Tribolium castaneum: one gene and its partner. The protein of the gene in region 1 interacts with the protein of each later gene in a pairwise test. Links are inferred from orthologs where the notes say so. Each region holds a gene or a part of one and is shown on either strand. Other genes may lie near its edges.

Region 1 (4,355 bases):
ATTAATGAATAAATAACCTCCCAAGCCGATTTTCTTGTAAAATTGCAATCTCAATTTAAGATAAACGAGATAAAGTTATTTTGGTACGTTTGTTTAGTGTTTTTGATATCAAATTCAAGTACTTTGACTTCCGATTACTCAACTCGTCTCAGTCAAACTAATTGTGAACCAATTGACTGTCTTTGTCTAGCTGACTTAAGGAGAATTTAAACTGATTATTACGATAAATTGCGCTTCAAAACAAATTTGCACAAATATTTATCTTGAAAAATTGTAAAGTAATAAATATTTACCAATTATTCCGCGCCCGGAACGTGTTCAACATTATTGTTGAATTGTTTTTATTTGCGTTTCTAAGGGCAACCACTCACAAACAAACGGTTGTGCCAACATGGCTAAATAAAACGCCGTCATGGAATCATGCAACACATTTTTATTATAAAAATACGGAATACAATAATTCAATTAATAATAATTCTTTATAAAAATACTTATGCACATCAAAAAGAGAATTAATTATTGCTATTCGACAACAGCGAAAGAACTACCGGTACAAGCAAAAGCCGCCTTGACTTTTCTATTAGCGAAAATCTGCGTGGGCTTGCAGACGTCGGTTTTATCACCGGTTCCGCAGCTCCCGTGCTCATTCCACCCCCAAACGAACAATTTCCCATCTTTGGTAACGGCTAGATTATGTTCGGAGCCGACGCTCAACTGTGTGACGTCCTTAAGTCCGGGGATCTTCTCCGGCTTGTAGGTGACCTCCCTCTGGGCCCCCAACTGGCCGTAGCTGTTGCGCCCCCAGGTGAAGACCTCGCCCGACTTGGAGAGGGCCGCCGTGTGTGTCCAGCCCGCGTACACGGAGCCGAGATTGGCGTCATGGAGGATCTCCATCGGGACGAAACTGTTCGAGATGTTGGGGTCAATGCCCAACTGCCCGTACTTGTTCTCGCCCCAGCTGTACACGGTGCCGTCCTCCTTCAGGACCACGGTGTGGTGCTGGCCACTCGCTATGCTCACTATGTCCTCTAAGTCCGGAACTTTGGATATACTCAGGTAGTTGTTGTCATCAAAGTTATCGCCAAGGCCCAGCTGGCCCTTGCTGCCCGTGCCTGCGACTAGAAGACCACCGTCCTTGTTGAGCATCGCTGAGTGGCGCAGCCCGCAGCTGACCTGCACACACATTGCCCCCGTTTAGACTACCCTGTGAGGGTGACCAGACACAAAATTTTGCCCGGACAAAAATTGATTTTTACAGCAAAATAAATTTTGTAACTATTGTTACTATCAAATTTTGTTGATCACTTCGGCGCAAATTTAAGGAATAAAAACTGAAATTTCATATTTTTTCAACGTTATCAGGTTATTACTTAACATGTATTAAAATAAATTGTGGACCAAGTAGAGCAGCAAATCGTTCGCAAATACGAAATATGGTTTCATCTCTATTTCTTAAGATAGCCATTGAAAGTTATCAAATGAAAAAAGTCTTCTCCATATCTTTAGAGGACGATTATTGATATAAAAACAGGATTTGGACTTATCTGCAAATCGTGAAATTGTATTCGAGCAAATTCTAGCAGAGCTACCGTTAAAAAAGGGCCAATGGTATCTGTAGCATGCTGACGGTCATTTTTTAATTTTTTTGCAGAACAAAAACGTTTTTTTTTAAATAATGCGTAAAAGTCGGTCTTCGGCATTTACTGTTTTTTGCTGTAACGTCGTCAAGCTCTTGTAACTATTGACTTCTTTTTGAGAAAATCCTGCTCCAATAAAAGTCACCGTTTGGCGACTTTCGTACCAATGTATATGTTTCACTGTTTTCTTTCGTACTTTAAGAGATGTTAAGTGACCGAGAATTACGAGATATTGATTTTTTGTTTATCTGTTCCGTTTATTTTTATTTACGTAGATAAGAAATCACGATTTTTTTGCATTATACTTGCCTGACTAATCTTTGGGTAATTTTTTACTTACAAAGACAAGAATTAAAAAAAGACTAGAAGCATTAGAATTAAAAGTCGCGATTGTCTTGGACGCGCGGTAAGGTCGCCGGACCTTGCATAAGTAAACGATTTTTGGGTTTTCTTTTATTAGAATGGTGGGATATTTATTATTATTATTAAGACAAATCTGGTCACCCTAACCCTGTGGAACCTTACCTGTTTGAAGCCAGTGGCCAGCTTCTGGGACACCTGCAGCCGCGACGGGATCCCCGTGCAGGTGATGCTTTTAGAGAGCCCCAGCTGGGTGTAGGAGTTGTTCCCCCAGACAAACTGCTTGCCGCATTCGGACACCGCGGCGCTGAAATCCCAGCCGCATGAAATCTGAACTATCCGAAAGCCTTTCAGAATTTCAATCTGGGTGATTTTCAGAGTATCATCGCTGGTGCCCAACTGGCCCTTGGAGTTCCACCCGCAACAATAGACGAACCCATTTTTGTCTAAAATTAAAGTGTGGCCCGCGCCGCCGGCTATGGCAACGATATTATCGGCCACCAGGTCGGTGTCGCCGAGGTTCACCTCTTTGGGAGACACCTCCTCGTCGGACTTGTGTCCCAAGCCCAGCTGGCCGTAGCTGTTCGCGCCCTGGAATCGCCCGGTCAAAACCACCCCCGCCAACAATCAAGCGCCCACTTACCCAACTGTACAAAATCATCTCGAGCTGTTAAGTCGGATGGCCGTATTTGCGTCGCCAAATGGTAAATTATTCAAACACGCGTCCTCTCTCTGCCTAATTGAGGTTATGTTCGCCAATCTTAATAATAAAAAATACACTACACCGACTGCGCTTCGAGTGAATTACGCACACGTCACCACAGCTTTGTATCACAGTCGCCGGGCGACAGACGGAGATGGAGCGATTCGAATGTTGCTAGCGAGATGCGGTAACAAGTTCCTCGGGTTTTTTTGGTGGTATTGGTACGGAATGACACCAAACTCGATGCATGGATCACTTCTTAACAATAAAGCACGGTTTTTGGTGAAGACTCGAAACGAGGGATTTGCACACTCGACAAAACGCAAAAAAATGCTTACTATAATCGGTCATTGGCCAACATAATGGACACGATTGGATTTAGACAGTTGTCTCCATCTCTCTCCACACCACCATCGCCGCTATCGAATCTCTCTCTCACACACTAAAACTAAACACTGCCACCAATCACACACCACAATTCCCCACACGTTTTGAAAATGGGCGCATTTTCCAAAAACGTCATGTCACAATTTAAAAGACTTCCATTCCAGCTATTTAGAAACAAGTTTTTCCACCCCATCAGGTGCGAGTCCACCTGTCCCGAACGCCGTCCGTACTCGCCCTTCCGCCCTAAAAACCAAACCGAATGGGTGTTAGCCCGTCTGGACGATTTGCTGAACTGGGGCCGGAAAACCTCAATGTGGCCCCTTACCTTCGGTTTGGCATGCTGTGCTATCGAAATGATGCACATTGCAGCCCCGCGATACGACATGGACCGGTACGGCGTCGTTTTTAGGGCTTCGCCCCGCCAAACGGAAGTCATAATTGTGGCGGGAACCGTCACCAATAAAATGGCGGCAAGTTTGAGAAAAGTCTACGATCAAATGCCCGAACCCAGATGGGTCATTTCAATGGGCAGTTGTGCCAATGGGGGCGGGTATTATCACTATTCCTATTCCGTGGTCAGGTATGCTTATAGGAAACTAAATTACGAATTAACGGTTCAATAGGGGCTGTAACCGGATTATTCCGGTCGATATTTACGTCCCGGGGTGTCCCCCAACCGCTGAGGCGCTCATGTATGGGATTTTGCAGCTTCAGAAGAAGGTCAATCGCCACAATGCGATACAGAAATGGTTTGTTAATCGTTTCTGACTTAAATAAAATAATATTGATTCCCAATAACCTGACATTTTATTTAATTACCCCCTTGATAAAAATTTAATTGCGCCGTCTATGGTTAGTACGCAATGTCGGTGAAGACAGCATCAAAAGTGGTGACCTGATCTGACCTGACAATTCTAATGTGATTCTATTACAAAGGACAGGAGGAAAATAGTGAAAATAATGAATGAGTTTTGCAAAATGCTTTTATAGAAAAGTTGTACTTTATGTTTTATTATGTGGTAAACTTAACACACCTTAAAACACGCCCTTTATAAACGATTAAACGCCCTTTTTCATCAAAATGTTTAACACGAAAAGTTCATTTTTGCCCTATATACATTTCAATAAATCACACTAAAGTTTATGTCGTTGACTCAAAGGTAGATTTATCTACCCATAACATATTCAATAATAGTTAATAACACTCTAAAAGAGCAGAAACGGACACAAAATCCATAAATGTTAAAATTTTTACGTTTCAGCTGATA
Region 2 (3,220 bases), on another chromosome or scaffold:
TGGGAGTGACCAGTGGACTGTTCTTCTGCTCTTATTGTTTTATTTATTCTATTTTGAATTTAGCTCACGAAAAAAACACGTTTATGCGCTTGATAAAAAGGGTAAATAATAATTTATTAATAAAAGTTCGTATTTTTTAAAACAGTTTTCGGTGAAATTATTGTGTTGTCTTGTAGTTGCACAGCTATTTGTACGCCGTGTCACCTGATGTTTTAGTCGTCCGTAATTATTGTTTTAATTGTTTTTTTTTAGTTTCAAGGATCCTGTGTATCAGTGTGATAGCATCCAAGTACTTGGTGCCTACGATTCTGGTGATTGTTCTCCACTGGTTCGTGATGACAATGTGGCTGTCTTGTACGAACCAAAAAAATAATTTTTGTAAACATAACAAGGTCTATGACATGTTTTTCTACTCAATTTTTGGTACTGTGTATATTTTCACGCCAGTTACGTTAGTCGAAGGCCCGACTTTTCTGAAATATGTTTTCTTTTACGTCGTGCTGTTTGTAGAAAATACGATAGCTAATGTTGTGTGGTACTGTAATGCTGATACTACTCTGCAGAAACAGATTTATTATACACCTATTGTGTATTTGAACGTTATTCCGTTTTTTGCGGGACTGACGTTCATGTTGCTGTACTATAAAGTCTTCCATCCTAGCACAGGGTATCACAGGACACAAGCTGTCCTTCCTAGTTAATAATCAAGGATCAAAGAGGAGTAGGTGAATATTTTTCTGCAGTGACTCTGATCTCCAAGTACGTACTCAAATGAATCCTCTTTGGTTTTTAGTTATAATTTTATTAACAATGTGATGTCTAATTTATTGTGTTAGTAGAATTGATGTGTATTTTACTAAGTAGGAATGGCCAAAGTATGTCAATTAGTTGTATTTTTCCTATTGATTTGTGTTTGTTGGTGCAATATTTAGTTGAATTGGTCCAGTTTTGAGATTATTTTAGTTGTATGCACAATTGTGGCGATGGAATCGAGCTCCGGTCTAAAATCGGGTAAAGAGGGGGCGGTTGCGTGACAGGTCCCGGCAAAACCTCGTTACCGACAACCCCCATAGCACTCAATTGCTCCCTATTGAATGATTTACTGATCCCCCCGCGACCGCCGCGGCCCCCTCGCCCGCCTCGACCGCTCATTTTATTTAGTCACTTCTAATTTTTTCAAATCTTCGGTTAGTTTTTTGACTTCATTTTGCTCCTGAAACGTCTCCTGCAATAAGGGTTTTTGGGGTTAATGCCTCACAAGCTATTTTTTACCTTGTCGTAAATTACTTTAACCACCAAGGAACAGCTCAGACAATTCGCTACTTCTTCGCCCGCGAGCAATTCTTCCTTAAAATTGATAGTAAATATAATGAGGTTAGGCCAAGGCACTCACTTTGGATATTTGGAACCTATCGTCGCATAGGCAAGGGTAATAGTAAACTTCTTCCTCTTCGTCGTATTCGAAATCCTCGATTTCTATTTCGTCGTGAAAAACAGTCATTACTTTATTTGTGGCTGAATTTTAAAATTTTCTAAGGTTCCAAACCATGTGACAGATTGTGGTTATGTGTGGAGTGATGTGACGTGACGTTTAATTTTTTGAGGGGCAACAATAATACGCATTAAATTCGAGATTGTGGAGAATCACTGTTGGGTTGTTTTATTATTATCTTAAGTAAAATAGTTAAAATTTAATTAAAAAAAGTCTCCCCGGCGGGGAATCGAACCCCGGTCTCCCGCGTGACAGGCGGGGATACTGACCACTATACTACCGAGGACTGATGGGTAAATTTTCTCAAGTCCTGCACTTCAGCCGAGTCTGTATTAGCTACTTTTGATAATAATTGATAACAGTAATTGTAATTATTTTAAAGACAAGACATGGTGTTTCTTAATTCCACTGATTACAAGGTATTCAAAACAACATACAATTCAAAATATAATTTAATTTATACTGTCGGACAATTTACAGAGCGTCCGTAAGATGGCAGTAACAGTAGTCCTCACGCTTACTTGTCGTACGTGTTGGTACAAATACAAGTCCTAAAGATTGTTTCATCAAGATCATACTTCACAGGATCATTTCTGTAGTATATCTTCACATACTCTACACTCAAACGTAGAGTTGACGCAACCACGATGATGAGTCGTAGTTCTGATTCCTGAGCGTGAGGCAGATGCAGAGATATTTTTCAATATCTGAGTCGTCATCGATGATCGTTCACTCGCGCTTTTATGTGTGAGCATGGGATCAGAGCAATCCGAGCGGTTGCACCCTTTTTTGTTTAATGTAAAAGTATAGATACCTTATTTACCAGTACGTGTACGGTGTACGTAACGTACCTATTCCTATTTTACTTACCTTCAAAAGGCTTCTTTCCTACGCGAGCGGAAAGCATTAAAAAGTCATCTTTTTTTCCGGGACTACGCTAATATCATAAAGTATATCCATCCACGAGGGAGGAAAATAGTGATTTTTGAAAAAAATATTTATAATGCATAGAGACGATTTTATTTGTTCAGTTCGTGAAATTTGAATCGTGTTCAGGTGAACAGAGCGTTCTTATAATCGTTCGGGGATAAAATCAACGCACTACTGAATCAAAATAAGAATTAATTTGTTTACGAATCAAGGTTAAATCAAAACATTTTATTTTTGAGTATTTTCCCAATGACTACGCCTTTGGTTTTTATTATTGGGGCATTGAGCGTAGAATGGTAGCGCATCTGATTTTGACAAGTCTGCTGCTCGTTAATCATGTTTAATTTCAGCCGTTGATTTTATGTTTAGAACAGGCCAAAAGTCAAACGTTCTGTTAAAATATAACCGACTAGTTTCAGAATGCATCGTCATTAAGCGTTTTAAAATTAATTGAAATCCGATAACGCTGAAACTTTTTGTTACAACATAAAGTGATTTATAAAGGAAAAACCGCGTTCATTCGAATCTTTTTTATAGAGAAGTACTTAATAAACTGCAAAACAATATGAGCAAGTTAGTGTACTCGTAATATTTAAAAGGCTTATTATTATGCTGAATTAAAATAGAGTTTTAAACCTACTACAATTTATAGAATGTGTGTAATCATAATCAATCATCATAATCGTACTCGTAAATAAAATGCATAAAATATCTGATTACTCCTGGACCACCCTGCATAGTTTGTAATGTTGATTTATTTAAAAAGTTTGTGTTAAAATGTCTGCAAAAGACGGTCAG

Evidence for each region.
Region 2: the proteins of uncharacterized protein LOC655683 (region 1) and Dph3 interact in binary tests that used the Homo sapiens proteins (3 or more experiments, as listed by UniProt). The link is inferred for Tribolium castaneum from reciprocal best matches to the Homo sapiens genes SERGEF and DPH3.

What each region holds. Positions count from the first base shown.
Region 1 is NC_087398.1:4,656,902-4,661,256, reverse strand, and holds uncharacterized protein LOC655683, read right to left. Parts: upstream 3,095-4,355; 5' UTR 2,659-3,094; coding exon 2,641-2,658; intron 2,589-2,640; coding exon 2,163-2,588; intron 1,174-2,162; coding exon 523-1,173; 3' UTR 414-522; downstream 1-413. Other genes in the region: Fam92 (CBY1-interacting BAR domain-containing protein 1), read right to left, coding at 294-325; NADH-quinone oxidoreductase subunit B 2-like, read left to right, coding at 3,198-3,667, 3,711-3,855. UniProt on the Homo sapiens protein: Probable guanine nucleotide exchange factor (GEF), which may be involved in the secretion process.
Region 2 is NC_087396.1:11,845,444-11,848,663, reverse strand, and holds Dph3 (diphthamide biosynthesis protein 3), read right to left. Parts: upstream 1,747-3,220; 5' UTR 1,502-1,746; coding exon 1,394-1,501; intron 1,348-1,393; coding exon 1,273-1,347; intron 1,226-1,272; coding exon 1,154-1,225; 3' UTR 782-1,153; downstream 1-781.